Linked DNA regions of Elephas maximus indicus. The protein of the gene in region 2 purifies or fractionates together with the protein of the main gene of each other region. This does not show direct contact. Links are inferred from orthologs where the notes say so. Each region holds a gene or a part of one and is shown on either strand. Other genes may lie near its edges.

Evidence for each region. Proteins that work in one complex are often made in the same cells at the same time.
Region 1: the proteins of BPTF (region 2) and HMGXB4 fractionate together in Homo sapiens (co-fractionation; 3 studies listed by BioGRID, with this or other methods). This does not show direct contact. The link is inferred for Elephas maximus indicus from reciprocal best matches to the Homo sapiens genes BPTF and HMGXB4.

Annotation. Positions count from the first base shown.
Region 1 is NC_064822.1:178,692,790-178,700,533, forward strand, and holds the start of HMGXB4 (HMG domain-containing protein 4), read left to right. Parts: upstream 1-4,288; 5' UTR 4,289-4,360; intron 4,361-7,744. UniProt on the Homo sapiens protein: Negatively regulates Wnt/beta-catenin signaling during development.
Region 2 is NC_064837.1:56,115,395-56,124,159, forward strand, and holds the start of BPTF (nucleosome-remodeling factor subunit BPTF), read right to left. Parts: upstream 3,466-8,765; 5' UTR 3,430-3,465; coding exon 2,817-3,429; intron 1-2,816. UniProt on the Homo sapiens protein: Regulatory subunit of the ATP-dependent NURF-1 and NURF-5 ISWI chromatin remodeling complexes, which form ordered nucleosome arrays on chromatin and facilitate access to DNA during DNA-templated processes such as DNA replication, transcription, and repair.

The sequences.
Region 1 (7,744 bases), on a different chromosome or scaffold from region 2:
GCTACAGAGATTGTTCTCTCTAATCCTTTTAGGGGTTCTTTCCCAGGCCTTGGGTAGTTTCTTCACACACATGTGCTGATCAGTAGCTTTTTCAGACTGGCTTCTTTCACTTAGCAGAGTTTCTGCAGAGCTTCAGAACTTTCTGTGTGGGCAGCTCTCGCCTCTTGGGTATTCTACCCTTTGAATTCAAGCCAGCTTTACCTCCAGAGACTCCCATCTCTGTCACCTCAACTCAGGGAGACCTCAGAGCTCCACCTGGGTTACCCTTCACTCACCTGTAGTCTGGAAACTCTCTTCAGACAGTAAACTGAGCCAATTGTAGGGTTCTCCTTGCTTGTTTCCTCCTTCTCAGAGATCACTGTCCCATGCTGCCTGATGTCCCTGGTCTACAAACCACTGTTTCATATATTTTGTCTTTTTTTTTTTTTTTTTTTTTTATTGTTTCAGGCGGCAGAAGAAATCTGATCCCTAGTACTCTACTTGTTGTTAGTTGCTGTCATGGACTGAATTGTGTTCCCCAAAAATCTGTCAACTTGGCTAGGCCATGATTCCCAGTACTATGATTGTCCACCATCTTGTCACCTGATGTGATTTTCCTAAGTGTTATAAATCCTACCTCTATGACGTTAATGAGGCAGAATTAGAGGCAGTTATGTTCATGAGGCAGGACTCAATCTACAAGATTAGGTTGTGTCTTAAGTCAATCTCTTTTGAGATATAAAAGAGAGAAGCAAGCAGAGAGACGAGGGGACTTTATACTACCAAGAAACAAGAGCCAGGAGAGTAATGCATCCTTTGGTGTTGGCGAAGAATATTGAATATACCATGGGCTACCAAAAGAACAAACAAATCTGTCTTGGATGAAGTACGACCAGAATGCTCCTTAGAAGCAAGAATGGCAAGACTTTGTCTCACATACTTTGGACATGTTGACAGGAGGGATCAGTACCTGGAGAAGGACATCATGCTTGGTACAGGGTCAGCAAAGAAGAGGAAGACCCTCAATGAGATGGATTACGTGCTGGCAGCAACTATGGGCTCAACCATAATGACAATTGTGAGGATGGCACAGGACTGGGCAGTGTTTTATTCTATTGTACATAGGGTTACTATGAGTTGGAACCAACACGACAGCACCTAACAACAACAGAGGCACCCAGAGATTCTGAGGGAGAAAGACCTGGCAATCTACTTGCATAAAGATTAGACCAAAAAACCAAACCCAATGTCATCAAGTTGATTCTGACTCATAGTGATTCTATAGGACAGGGTAGTACTGCTTCGTAGGGTTTTTAAGGCTGTAATCTTCACAGAAGCAGACTGCCACATCTTTGTCCCACAGAATGGCTGGTGGGTTTGAACTGCTGACCTTTTGGTTAGCAACCGAGTGCTTAACCACCATGACACCAGGGCTCTTCCGCAAAGATTTCAGCCTTGGAAACCTTATGGGGCAGTTCTATTCTGTCCTATGGGGTGGCCGTGTGTCAGAATAGACTCAATGGCAATGGGTTTGATGTTTTGGTTTTATGCATTCAAGGAGCCCTCATGGTGCAATGGTTAAACACTCATCTGCTAACCAAAAGGTTGGCAATTCAAACTCACCCAGCAGCAACACAAGAGAAAGACCTGGTGATCTGTTCCCTTAAAAATTAAAGCCTAGGAAACCCTATACCATTCTACTCTGTCACATGGGGTCGCTATGAGTAGGGATTGACACCTAACAACAACAAAACAGGCTACAAAGGCACAGACTGGAGGGACCGGCAGGCAGGTCTGGAGGAGAACACAGGGGCCTGGCCCAAGCCCTTCTGGGCTAAGTACAAGATCTCTGTGTGGCCCAGCCTCCCCCCGTCACTCCCAGGAACTCATAGCACAGGCCCAGAAACACCACTGCTTGCCACTCCAAGCACATGGCGAAGCACTGACCCCCCTTGCCTCCTTTCACCCAATTTCTCCCACTGGGAATGCCCTCCCATGCTACCCCAACCCCAGAGGCAAGGGGCAACTGGAGGGTTCCCTCTTCCCTGAAGCATTATGGATTAATGAATTCCTCTCTGGTTCCAATAGACAGAGGATCAATAGGGCCAGTTTCCACCGCCCATCTGTCAATTTGTTGTACTGTGGTGGCTTGTTGTTTCTGCGATGCTGAGAGCTATGCCACTGGTATTTCAAATACCGGCAGGGTCACCCACGATGGACGGGTTTCAGTGGTTCTTCCAGAGTAAGATGAGGAAGAAAGACCTGGTGATCTACTTAGAAAATTAGCCAGTGAAAACCCTATGGATCACAACAGAATATTGTCCAATATAGTGCTGGAAGGTGAGTCTTCCAGGTTGGAAGGCACTCAAAACATGACTGAGGCATAGCTTCATCTCAAAGTAGAGTCTACCTTAATGATAAGAATGGAGTAAAGCCTTCCAGACTTTATTTTGCTGGGGGGTGAGCATGTGACCTACCTTACCCCATCAGTATATTCTATGCCTTTACTCACGGTGATTGGTTTCTGTTTAGACAGATGACCCAATTCAGGCAGTAAGAGTCAATCCCAGGACGTCTGCCAAAACAAATAGGAAAGAGAAACCCCCTGTCCAGTGACACTGCTAGCTGTAAAGATGATGGAGCCTGGAGCTGTTGGAGTCACCACCTGGAGTCTGAGAATGAAGCCAACTCAGAGGAAAGCACTACAGAGAGATGTTAAGAGGGCAGCTTGAGTCATTCCCTGAATCCAGCCAAGCCTGAAGGTGGTACACATTTCAGTAATGTGAGCCAATACATCTGCCTTTCATAGCAAACTCTTTTGAGTTGGGCTTCTGTCACTTACAATCGAAAACATCCTGACCAATACAGCCAGAGTGAAGAACAACAGGGAAATATATTCTTATGGCTCTTAAATACCTCAAAGAGAGGCCTAGCTTCAGGCAAGATATCCCCAAAATGCAAAGCTCATACCTTTTGGTGAAATTGACTGCCTGCCTTTTAGGTGAGCAGGATGGGGCTGAGGAAGAGGCCAAGATGCTAGTTTTATTTATTAGTTGCAATTACATTTCGAGTGTAAATTCAACAACTTTGTCTCTGATGTCTTAACTTTTCAGCATTTCACAGTTGTAGGGGCAGTGATTAACGAGAATCTGACCTTCTACCCAGTGCTGACAGGGCGAAAGCATGATATGGCAGAAAAAGCACTAAACCAAGAGTCTGATAATCCGGCTTCTAGTCCTCATCTGATCACTAATTAGCAGTGTGGTCTGAGAAAAATCACCTTGTTTCCCTCCGTCTCAGTTTCTAAGTCTGTAAAGTGAGCTGCATAACTACAACATCTGCAAGCACCCACCCCATTCTAGAATGGAAAGCCCACTAGGGCAGGGGTTGTTTGCTGGCACTGAAAACCCAGAAAAAACAAACATGTGCACAAACGCATAAATTTGCACAGATTTTTATGGAACGCATGACTCCAGAAGTCAATCTCTAACTTCTCTGCTCTACAGTAACTCAGACACTAGCATCTGCTGGCTCCCGTCTAGCTGGGCTCCTCTGGTGACACGGGGCTCCTTTCCTTACACTATTAAACTGCTCTTAAAAAAAAAAAAAAAAAACTTCAAATGGAACCAAAGACTGCACACTCTAATTTCTACTCATTGGCCCAAATTCTCTGAAGCAAATTCGAAAGCTCTGATTCTTTCCTGAACGTTACATCTCTTAGTTTTTCTGAAGACTATTTCCAGCTTTTAGGTGCAAATAGGGAGACATGCATGCGATTCACTAGGAAAGTTATTTTACAGTACATTTTTATAAAGATGTGTTCTTCCCCTTCACTCCAGATATACCAAACACCCAAATGTAGATGGCAAATTCCAAATAAGCGTCACTGCTATTAATCTGCAGGGTTCTAGATTTTTCAAAGAGGGGAAACACTGTATAAAAATATTTTGAACGAAACAGCATATTCTTCTGGGAAGGGCACTGCTTTTAGAATCAGAAGACTTGGGATAGAATTTTGCCCCCTACTCCAACCACCTGTTTGTCCTTGGGCAAGTCACTTAACATCTCTGAGCCTGTTTCTCGTCTGCCAAGTGCGATAAAAGCCCACTTCACAGAGATGTAGTGAGGATAAATGACATGATGTTCGTAAAGTCTCTAGACCAAGCCTACCACCGAGCAGATTCTCAATTAACACTAGCCGCGAGTTCAGAGTTTCATTCGATGAGCTCGGCGCTCTTTCTCAATCGGGATTCCCCCTCCCGAGCCCGAGTCTGCGCTCTGGGATCGATTGAGGCTTCCTAGCCGCTCGCGCTCTTCTCTCCTTCTCCAAGATGGCGGCGGTCGGCGGCGCTGAAGCGGGATCCGGGCGATCCGAGTGAAGGTAGCGGCGAGCGGAGCCCCCAAGAGGCCGGGCCGGGCCCCCACCCAGAGGCGGCAGCGGCCCCGCCCCGCCACCAGCCGCCGTCCCGGGACCGCGAAACCGCCCCGGGGGCGCCCCAGGCCCGTCGCGGCCTAGCCCAGGGGCCGCGCCGGGGACTAGAGTAGCGGCCGCAGCCCGCCCCCGGGAATGGGCTGAAGCGGGCCGAAGGAAGAAGGCGGGCGGGAGCTGTTCAAACGGGGAAGGCGGGAAAGCTGCGGGGCCGGGAGGGGGCGTGCGGCCGCCCTGGGGACCTACGGGCCGGGGCCGCCCCTCCCCCTGCCCGAGCCGTCCCCCTGCCCGAGCCGTCCCCGCCCTCGGGGGCACCGTGCGGCCGCCGGGGACGCGGGAACCCGAGTGGGGACCGCGGCTGGGCTCGGGGCCCGGGATGCGGGGTCCTGGGGCTGCTGGGGGCAAAGGGGCCCGAGTCCGGCGCGACGGGAGGGCTGGGTCAGCGGCTGGCAGAAGAGGATGCCAGGACCTTTCTTCTCTTTGCAGAGCTTTGTTGAACTAGCTGTTGCTGCAAAGCTGCGGGGAGGATCCCATTGATTTGCGTGGGGACCACAGAAGTGGTGGTCCTGGGGGGCTCTCTGTATAAATAACCTGGTATCGTCTGTATTTTTTACGGGTGACCCAGTTCTAACGTGCGTTTCTAGTGGTGTCTCCTCACACAGGCCCATTTTCCCTTACAGCTATTAAGGTGTAGATTGTCTTTTTATCATGCAAAAGAAGAGAAGCGTCTGGGCTTCCTCCTTTCTAATGCCCAAGCTGGTGGCTGATTATATTCCCTCAGCAGAATCAAAAACAAAAAACCGAAGCCAAAATAAAGCCTGTTGATTGGACAAGGCTTGTCAAAATTCGTATTGCTGGTTTTGTAGAAATGTGTGTTGTCAACCAGTCTGCAGTGGTCATGGTTCCGCTTAATTACACTGCAACAAGAAGATTCAGTCCCCATCCCAGGCGGTCGGGATCTCCGCAGCTTCCAGAGCTGGCAGGGGCTGTGAGTGCTGCATAGGTAGGACCTTGGAGAAAAGAGAGTGGCGAGAATTGAGTCGTGGCCGAAATTGGAGGAAACTTCGACAAAAATGAGAAGACCTCACCTGCTCATATCCTAGAAGTAACACACGCACGCACGCACGCACACACGCCCCCCAAAAAAGAAAAATTCAGAAACTGGCAACAGCTGGATGTGGCAATTTGAGTTCCTGCAAGAGGTGTTGGGCAAAGAGGAGAAACCCCGGACACGGTTCTCATCCTGGACAAGACCTGGCTTTCAGGATTTCACTTACTTCCTGCTTTATGGGACTGCCTGTGTTCCTTCTTTTTCAATATTTGTTTGCATTCTGGATGAAGAAGCTTGTTAGTGATTGCGGGGCTCGGATCACCTCAAAAAATCACCTTCTGAAACTTCTCTTTTCAGTGTTTATAATATGAATTTTCAAAGTAACCAAGTACTATAGCTGATGATTTTAAGTTTTCCCTAATGACGTCGGTAATCCCAAAAGCCTATTCCTGACCATAATTTGTATATTTCTCTACAAGTGGAAGAACAACTCTGCCTCCCCTTTTTTGTATCCTGAAGAAAAATCCCAAAAAGCCATTTAACAATTTGCACATTTCATAAGTATACATTTTTTTATGATGGCGTATTTTTTACTGCCATGAACAGTGCTAAATAATGAAATTTTACTTATGTTGTCATTTCTTAGCACACTGAAATGAACATAATTGTAAAATTATCCCTGCCTCTTAAAGTTGACAGCATTGAATTCTCTCAACGCCAAGATTATGGAACTCAGAAAAATGGCTTTTAACAGATTTCACATTTGCCAACATTTAATTCAATTATGGCCTCTGTTTTCTAATGTGAAAATCAAACCTAAGATGTTTCATTTCCACTAACCTGAATAATCAGCTGCCTGCCCCTAACTCCAGTTTTACCATGGATAGTATTTGAGGCCTAGAAGGAGTATCAGGGGCTCATCTGATCTTACATAAATGTTTCCTTTACTCTGTCTGCTACACTGTTGCTTAAGACTTCTTTAACTAGTGCCCTCTTTCTTTTATGAGCCAGCAACCAGAACTAGACCCTATGCTACAGTAATATTCAGATTTTAAAGCATCTAGAAGTTAAGGGCCCATCAGTCTTCCCAAGCTGTGACTGATATAGTCCATTGTGTTTAATTTTAGTTTTTCAAGCTTTCAGCTACCCCAGTTATTTAGTGGACTGGACTTGTCTTCAGGCCACTCTCATATTTTTCTACAGGTTATTTAATCCTCTAACTTATAAGATGTTCTTCAGTGTTTCTCAAGAAAATCTGAACAGCAACAGGCCTAATTCTAAGACTTAATGGTAACAGCAGCCCGTGTTTTCTGTATTGGCCTGTGCCTCTGAGGAACAGCTCCTAATTTTCTGTTTTCCTCTCGCAATTGTTTTAATCTACTGGTTGTTTTTCAAAGCAGTTATGAGACGTCAAGCACCTTTTCATACTCCAAATCGCAGTTATTTGTTTTCTTATTTTGTCTACAGAGGTACTTATTTCTATTCTGAGTGTTAGATTGCTCAACTCTGTCCTTTGGTGTTACCAAAGGGAAGTCCTAATCCTAAGTCTCAGGACCTTACATTTAGAAGTGCATTTTCTTGTTGACAGATTGTTGGCCATGTGTATGATATTGGATATTTAAGATTTTTTCCCCATTATTTCTCAAGCATTCTTTGCCAAAACCTATTTGGCATGAAAAGCATTTAACTTGAGGTCTCAAGCTGTGGTATTTCTTGGCATTATCAGCCTATGAAAATCAATGTGATGTATATATATATATTTTTTTTCTCCCTAAAAATCTCAATATTTTGGTTCCAAAATCAAACCAAACCCACTGCCATCAAAGTCAATTCTGACTCATAGAACCCCATAGGACAAAGTAGAACTGCCCCTATAGGGTTTCCAAGATGTAAACCTTTATGGAAGTAGACTGCCATATCTTTTTCCCAGTGGAGCAACTGGTGGGTTCGAACCAACAACCTCTGGGTTAGCTGGCAAGCATTTTAACCACTGTGCTACCAGGGCTCCTTATTTTGGTGCCAGTGAAAGGATATACTATTTTCACATTAATGGATCTAATACCTGATGACATTCTCCCACCCCTCCACTCCCTTTGGGTAGAAAGGGGAAGATAGTTTCCACCTGAGAAAGTTTAATACGTAATGCTGGAACATGAAAAACTACACTACCTTGCCCCTCATATTTCCACATGAGGCCTGGCCTTATGTCGCCGTCCCCTTCATTTCCTACGAAAATGCCCCTTGAGCAAGTGCTTTTCTGGCTTATCTTTAAAATAATCCACTTC
Region 2 (8,765 bases):
CGGAAGAAAGGCCTGGTAACCTACTTCCATAAAATTACAGCCACGGAAAACCCTGTGGAGTCCAGTTCTACTCTGAGACACATAGGGTCGCCATACCTCAGAACCCACTCAACGGCAACAGGTAAGCCAACACTCTAGTCTATAAAAATTGATGAAATCGCTCTAAATTACCAATAAAATACAGCCTTCTTGTAGGTTTGAAAGTACCATAGGATTCAACTCCATCAACCTTATTTCTTCATATGTTTTGGGGATATCTTAAACCAGTCCTAGAACTTTTTTCCTTCCCAAACACAAGTACATATTTACACATTTACCCCACAGCCTTCCTCCCAGGAAGTACAGACAATAAAACTAATGAAACTGGTACTTAGCCTAAACAACTCACCTGTCATGCATTGTTACTCATTCTAGGCAAGTGGGCATATTCTGAAAGTCCAGAACACAAACTCTCTCCTCCATTTACCATAATACTGAGAAATAATGAGTTTCAAAAGGCAAAACAACCAAGAAGTTAACACCGTATCCCCTGAAGAAAGGAAAATGCCTGGCAAGCAACACTAAACAGCATTTCAAAACACAGTAACTCTGCTATTTAAAAATTTGCTAGTCAAACTGTTAAAATCTAATTAGACCAATTTTTAGTTTACTAAAACCAAAACATTTACGAGTTATAGCACCCACTAGGGAATTATCAAAACTTCATCTATTTCAAGTTCTCGCCTACTAACTATGGCTTATCCAGACCGCCTTTGATGAGCACCTGCTATGGGCATGACTAGGAGGCGCAAGGGAGATGAGATCAAGATCTCTCATTAAGGAGTTAATAATTTTATAAAGGGATAGGACAAGTATACACAAGGTAGACTACAAACGTCATTAGGAAAAAAAATGTCACAGATACGTCATAAATACACAAGTTTTTTTTTTTTTTTTTTAAGGAAACCAGACCACGAATTGTCATGTAATTCAGCCCATGCACAGCCAACAATCCAAAGTATTATTTGTTAGGCCTTCAAACAGGAGTTAAAGTTAGCTAAACTGCCATACCAAAAAATGCCTTAGCTCCTCTCTAACCTGGAAGAACTTCCTCCAACAGTGAAATTCAGTTTCTATGGTTCATTCAATTCTAGGCTCTTGGTAGAAAGTGAACATGTGTGATTTCTTAAAGTAAAAAAACTTATTACTATAAAAAGATGTACTAAAATTACGCTGGCAAGGAACAAAACTTTTGTGCAGTCCCTTTCACATACAAAAGACAAATACTTAACACTTAATTCATTACCTTCACTCTCCCCTGCCTGTCTCCACCCTCAACAAAGACAGACACGCTCTCATTGTCAGGCAAAAGCCACTACCTTTCCCATTTCACGTTAAGACAACCAAAACAGGTTTATATCCGGTTTCATACTTCTCCAATAGGTACTGAAGCATTTGCAAAAAATGGAAACATTTCAATTTAACTACTTTTTCTACCCTAGTCTCTCTTAAACACTAGTAACACACCTTAATTTTCCAAGATCCCCGTATTTCCTCATAAACTACTTTGTAAATGCTCTTAAAACCAGATTCTAATTTAGTTAACCCAGACAAACCAAAATACAATGTCTGGCAGGTTTTTGCTACATATTTGTTTGTTTTTTTTCCAGAATTTAGTAAGCTGCAACTACGTATTTAATACAAAGCAGCAATTGTGTTGTATTTTTTTGTTTCTTTTTTTAACAAAAGGCATTTCAGCACCAACCTAGAGAAACGTCCTGAGAGAAAACAGGAGAGGAGTCACCACGAAGAAGTCCATTACTGATCCTGGATGGACTTTCAGCCTCAGAAACAGAGTGAAAAGCAAAAGTTGTTTTCTAATAGCCCTCCTCCCCCCAGTATCTCTGCTGTGTGACTTAGAAGTTGGTCCAAGTGGTCATCTTCAGCAATTATGTCTGGGTGATCAACTACGCGTCTTCTGCAACAGGTGACATGAAACTGTCTTTCCCAAGCAAAGCAATCGCCATCAAATTAGTAAGACGGCATGCTCCTGCGGTTTTTTACTTTTATTTTGGATTTTACCCAAATGATTTTGAATCGGATGAATTACCGAATTTGCTTTGGGTTTGGTTTTCTGCTTTGCTTTTCAATCAGCCATTTACCAGCCACTGTTGCACGAGCCCATTAACACCCAAGAAATAAAAACAAACACACAGGGCCAGATAAGTAAGGCTTCCTCTACTAACCCAACTGATCTATTTCCTTAACACAGTTTTTAAACCACATAGCTAGGGGAGTGAAGGGAAGAAAGTTTTGTTTGTTTGTGTGTATTTATGTGTCTGCCACAATCTATCTAAACCCTAAACCCCCTTTTAAGGAGCAGATAGACCATAAAAATCTAAAAGAACCACATTAGAAACGCAAAGAGGTTTGCAAAAACAAGTGGTTTCTTTCATTCCAAAAAACCAAACCAAAACAAGGGGAGAAAAATGAATGCAATGGATGTGTGTGTGCCAAAGTTTCAATCCTGCCCGGTGGAGACATTGCACTGGCATAAATTTTGAAGAGAAAAAAAGGGGGGCTAAGGGGAGAGAGAGCGAGCGAGTGTGGCCTGCAAAGTGCAACAATGCAATCTCCATTTTGAACAATGCGCCTCTTTCCTCTTGTAAATCTAGTTTTTTGCCACTTGATGTGCCTTCGCATTTCCCCTCGGTTTGGGGGGGCGGTGGGGGTGGGGGGAGGCCGGAGCAGGATGCACAGCACCCAAGAGGGAGTGAGCAAGGGGGGAGGGTAAGGAGGTGGGGAAGGCGTCTGCAGCAACTGGGCTGGGTGGGTACCTGGAGTGCTGCTATAGGTGCTATGGCTCCTGAAGCTGCTTTCCGTGCAATAACTAGCGTCGTCGTCGTCGTCTTCCATCTCCTCCGGATAATCGGAGTCATCGTCGTCCTCCTCCATCTCATCTTCCTCGTCGTCCTCGGAATCCTGGGTCTCCTCGGCGTCGCCGTCCTCCTCCTCCTCTTCCTCGGAGACCATGTCCTCCTCCTCCTCCTCGCTCTCGTGGTCATCGTACACCACTTTGTTGACGGCCCTCCGGGCCGGGGTGGCCCGGGCCAGGTGGCCGCCGCCGCCCCCGCCCCCCGTCCTGCCGCCCCCGCCTCCTCGCCCCCCCCGGCCCGGGGCGCTGGTGCTGGGGGGGGCCGGCGGCGGCGGCGGCGGCGGCTTCCTCCGGCTACTGCTGCCCCCCCTGGGTGAGCTCAGCCGCGTCTTGGGCGCCACCTCAGCCTGGGCGGCGGCCCACCTGCCCCGGCTGCTGCCGCGGTGCCGCGATCGGAGCCCCCCGATGGGTCCGGACGTGGGCGGCGGCGGCGGCGGCGGCGGCGGGGCCGGGGCGCAACGCTCCGCAGCGGGAGCCGCGGGCTGCTTGGGCGGCCTGCCCCGCCGGCCCCTCATGTCGGAGCCGAGGCGGGGGGAGAAGGGAAAGCGGAGGGGGGAGGGGCGGGCGGAGGGGCGGCGGTGAGGGGCGCCGGGGCCGGGTGGGGAGGCCCGCGGGGCCGGGCGGGAGGGGCCGGGCCGGCGGAAGCGGGTGGAGGGAGAAGGCTCAATCCGAATTGCTGGGGCCCCACTCCGGATCGCCTTCAGCCGCCATCTTGTTTCTTCCCTCTCGCTCGGTGACTGGGGGAACCGACAGCGGCCGCAGGCCCAGAGCGCGGTCACGTGAGCTGCGCCGCCGACGAGCCTGGGACGGAGCGAGGCCGCACGGCGGCCGCTAGGGGGAGCGCGGGAGCGCCCAGTCGGGTGCGAGGAGCCCGGGCGCCTTGGCGCGGCGGGGTGGACCTGCGGGCTCTCGCAGCGCGAGCGAGAGGTGCGCTCCGCTGAAGAAATGAATCCCGCGCAAGGCGTCGGGAGACGAAAGCCTCTGCGGAGTCCCCAGCGGAGCCCGAAATTCCCGCGTCTCCCCTCCCGGGTTCGGAGAGGAGGGCAAGGGAGCCCCAAATTTCATACTGCATGCCGCCCCCTTGGGGAAATGATGCTGCGACAGTGTCACGGAGGGGGAGGCCCGAGTGACGGGGGGGACCGGGTAGTGCTACCGACGGGGTGAAATTAACTGGGGCCCCGTAGACGAGCCCCCAGAAACGTGAAACTCCAAGCGCTTTTTTCTGGAGTCCTGAAATTGATCCCAATGACAACTGCTCCGGGGCCGTGCCAGAAACCACGCCCTGGGCTCCCAGACCCTGAAGGAAAGTCGCTTGGAAGCTTCTTGCCTCCGATAAACTCCAGGAGGCAACCACACTCTAGTTTGCGACACCTCTTCTAAGGAGCTCTGGTGGCTTGGTGGTTAAGTGCTTGGCTGTTAACGCTTACTGTAAGGGTTGGTGGTTCGAACACAGCAGCCCCTCCAAGGGGGCCTCGGTAAACCTTGTTGGGCAGTTCTGCCCTGTCCTCTAGTGTTGCTATGAGTCAGAGTCCACCAGACAGCAAGGGTTTGGGTTTTTTTGTTTTAGTTTTTTTCTTTTTACACTTTTCCTAGTGTCCCATCTAGGAACTTGATAATGGCAGCAAGAACTTTCCTGTTTCTCATTTGCAGCATAAAGGGTGACTTCCCTCCTAAAACCTGCTTCAAAATATTTTTGTCTTCTAGAGAAATTATTTATTTACCTGACAAGTCAGTAGGGTCTCAGCTTCGTCTAGGGTGGGAGTCGTGATGATGCAATTTCAGGCTCCCCACACCAAATCGGGGTGACTTAATAGGTTGGCCAAGGTACGCTCTAGGGATAAGAGAAAGGTTTTATAAACATAAGTGAGTATTTATTAAAATATGAAATATCCAAGGAGTGGTTCAAAGAAAAATAGTTAAGATAGTAGACGTGTTAACTTTGGTGAAGGGAAAGACAACACATTATGTAGGGGAGGTCAGCACAACCTGACCAAGACAAAGGAAGACACTTACAGGAGCACGAGGAAAAAAATAAAAGGCAACCACAGTAAATAAAATACTGCAGCATGTACAGTCCCGCAACAACAGTAAAAACAAATAATAACTTATAAGCAGGTACATCGGCAGATACCTATCCTGAATAGACGAAGGAGGGCGTTTAGGAGTAAACCCATGCACATATGTAGGTTAGGCTGTGGATGTTTTTACACACGTTTGTATGTACAGCGTGTATATTCATATATATATATATGATAGAGCACAAACGGAGCACAGTCATAGAAGCTTCCTCAAACCCAAAAAACCAAACCCAGTGCCGTTGAGTCTATTCCAACTCATAGCGACCCTATAGGACAGTAGAACTGCCCCATAGAGCTTCCAAGGAGCACCTAGCAGATTCGAACCGCCGACCCTTTGGTTGGCAGCCATAGCACTTAACCACTACGCCACCAGACATGTCCAAATATCTTGTGAGACTGAGTTACTGGAGCTGAGGGCTGGGAACCATGCTCTTGGGGGACATCTAGGTCAATTGGCATAACACAGTTCATAAAATGCTCAACATCCTACTTTGGTGAGTAGCATCTGGGATCTTAAAAGCTTACCAGTGGCCATCTAAGATACATCTATTTGTCCCATGCCATTCAGAGCAAAGGCGAATGAAGAAAACCAAAGACACAAGGAAAATATTAATCCAAAGGACTAAGGGACCACATGAACCACAGCCTCCACCAGCCTGAGCCCAGAAGAATTAGATGGTGCCTGGCTACCACCACCAATCGCTCTGACAGAGATCACAATAGAGGGTCCCAGACAGAGTGTGAGAAAAATGTAAAACAAAATTCAAATTTACAAAGACTGAAGGAACCCCCCAAGACTATGGCCCCCCACCCTTCTAAATGGGAACTGAAGCCACTTTCAAAGTTCACCTTTTAGCCAAAGATTAGAAAAAAAAAAATTTTTTTTTTTTAGACAACCCTATAAAACTAAGTGAAGAACATGCTTCTTAGATCAAGTATACGAGACTAAATGGGCAACACTTACCCAAAAGCAAAAAGAGAAGGTAGGAAGAGACAGGAAAACTGGATGAATGGAAATGGGGAGCCCAGGGGGAAAGAGAGAGAGTGCTGGCACATTGTAGGAATTGTAACCAATGTCATGAAACAATTTGTATAGAACTCTTTGAATGAGAAACTAATTTGCTATATAAACTTTCACCTGAAGCACAATAAAATAAATAAATAAGAAAAATAGTTAACATTATTCTGGCCACCAAATATTTTACAATGTAAGTGAAAAAATAGAACATATGTGAAATGAAAATTAAAGAAATGCAAGTGCTAACTGCCAAATTAATTTATTAGACATAATTTGGTTGAGCACCAAGGGTCACAAACTTATATGCCTTCAATGACCAGGTGAGCAGTGAAAGTAAACAAAGTGGGCAGGGTGAGGCCTTTGGAAAACTGAGCACCCAAGTTTTGTTTAGAAAGAGCAGCTACAAGAATACAGGCCTAAAATGGCCAGGTCTTCAACCTTTTCAAGAGAAGGTGCAAATGAGGATTACACATGGAAACTCTTGATTTTTAAATATTAGCAACTAAGTCAATTTTTTAAAAGCACTTCAGATGGATCAAAATATACTAGATCAGATACAGCACTTGGAATTTTTAGTTGCAAGCAATAGAAATCAACTATGGCTCATTTAAAAGAAACAGAAAAGGACTCCGTGAGACAGATATGGGTACCTCCAGAATTGCTGGTTCCAAATGTAAATGGAATCCAGGCTCCCAAGCTATTGTCTTGCAGCTGGCTCTGTAGCCAAGTGAGTGTTCCGTGGGCCATTCTACTGTTCGGACCATTCTACTGTTCCGTAAAGCTAGCTGCTTCAGGTGGTTGGGAGTGTAAATAAGGCTAGTGCATCCAAGAGGATAGCCCATTTCTTTATTTCTTTCATTTAAAGTTAGTCTCATGCTTGATACCATGGTGTATAAAATACCACGATGGTAAATAAGGTATTCAGTAAGTCCCTGTAGGGTGATGATGATGGTATAAGTATGGCTGGTGGGGGAAAGCAAATCCAACTTCAGTATAACCCTCTCCCCAATTAAGTTGACTCACTGTCCCCTTCATTATAGAGTCCATTATAATGACGCCTTCCAACATGGGCATTCAGCAATGGCAATAGCCAGTTCAGCTTTGCAGAAGGGAAGCACGTGTTGAATCCGTTATAACCTTGGTGCCAGCCCCCATTGCCACTTTGTGCATAACCCCTATAAGCAGGTACTGGCTTTACTAGGGAAGGAGTTTGACCTACATTCACAGGTTGGGTCTTCTTGCCCTCTAACTTGTTAAAGCTTCCTTAGCAGTGAGGATATTTTGATAAGTATTCATATGGGGCACAAAATCTATCACTTTCTAGGTTTATTCTGAGAGGTTCATCTATACCTTCTTTCTAAAACTTCTTGTCACCAATCCTCTTAGTCCCTGACCAGCTGGCCAAAGGGACACTGCCCATGACTTGGTGTAGAGTCTTTCTCAAGGCAAAGAGAACCACAATAAATACAACTCAAGGCTCTGCCTACTGGGAGATGTCCTTTTGCCACTGTCCTTCAAGACCACTTCCAACTGTAGCTATGGTACTTTAGCAGTCCATTTCCAGCTGATACCATCTGTAAACCAAGCTCAAATGTTGTCCTTCTTAGTTATATGGTCATGGGGAGTTGGGGTTGTGGACTGAGGAAGGAGTGGCAGTGAAGTGGGAGTAAACACTCAGTGAACTGGGAATTGCACTCCTGTGTTTCTCCAGGACCTGCTCAGGCCTGCTCTTCCATATACCATGTACTCTTCAGGATGGGAAGGCTACCGGGTATTTATGGCTAAATGAAACAGATACTCAGTTCATGATAAGCAGAACAGATTACACGGTCACCTGGTACCCCAAAGGTCAGGCTTTCTGTCTTTGCCAGGGCCCAGGAGCAAAGTTAAGAGCAGTTCTCAAAAAGAACAGTTATTAGCCAAAGAGAGTAAGACTTTGCTCCAAAACCCTAAATGTAACCATAGTGATGCTCCTTTGGGGGCTTGCCATGGACTTTGTATAGCACCCCAGTACGTGGATGTACACAGAGCATTATTGGGTCCACTGAGTCATGAGAACCAATTAGCAGAGATCCTTTCACTGCCCCCTGGACCTGCTGAAGAACTTTCACTTGCTCTGGGCTGCACTCAACATTCACGAATTTTCAGGTCACTTTTGAAAATGGCTTAAAGCAGCACATACAATTGTGGCATATGTAGTCATCTAAATCCAAAAAGAGCTTCTCAGCATCCAGTACCGTAGAAGACACCGCCCCACAGCCCTTGAATTCCTCACTCCCATTATATGTTTTATGGCTACAGTCACTCCTCTGAAGACCTGCCTTTAATTCCAGGTGACACCGGTGATTTTGTTGTTTTGCCACTGTTTGCTATGGGCTATCAGAGCATCATACCTTCACATTAGATGCCTCTTCTCTGCCATCAGCCTCAGAAGACCAGACAGACAGTCACAGACACCCCTCCCCGTTTCCCTGGGACTCCACAGCCTAGGGCCACTCTGGCACCAGTTTCTTTAACAGTTGGGTTCTTGGTTGCAGCCAACAGAAACCAACACCATCTGCTGTAAGATCACAGCATCACTGAGGGTACAAAAGAACCAGGCTCTGAGGCTACACAGCCAGAAACATCTAAAACCAGGCAAGAAGATTGGATCAGGAAGGTAGATGGCTGCTGCTGCCTCACATAACTACCTGGCTTGCCCTGCTAATGCCACAACCAGTGGCACTGGCCATCGCTTCCTAGTGATGCTAGCTTC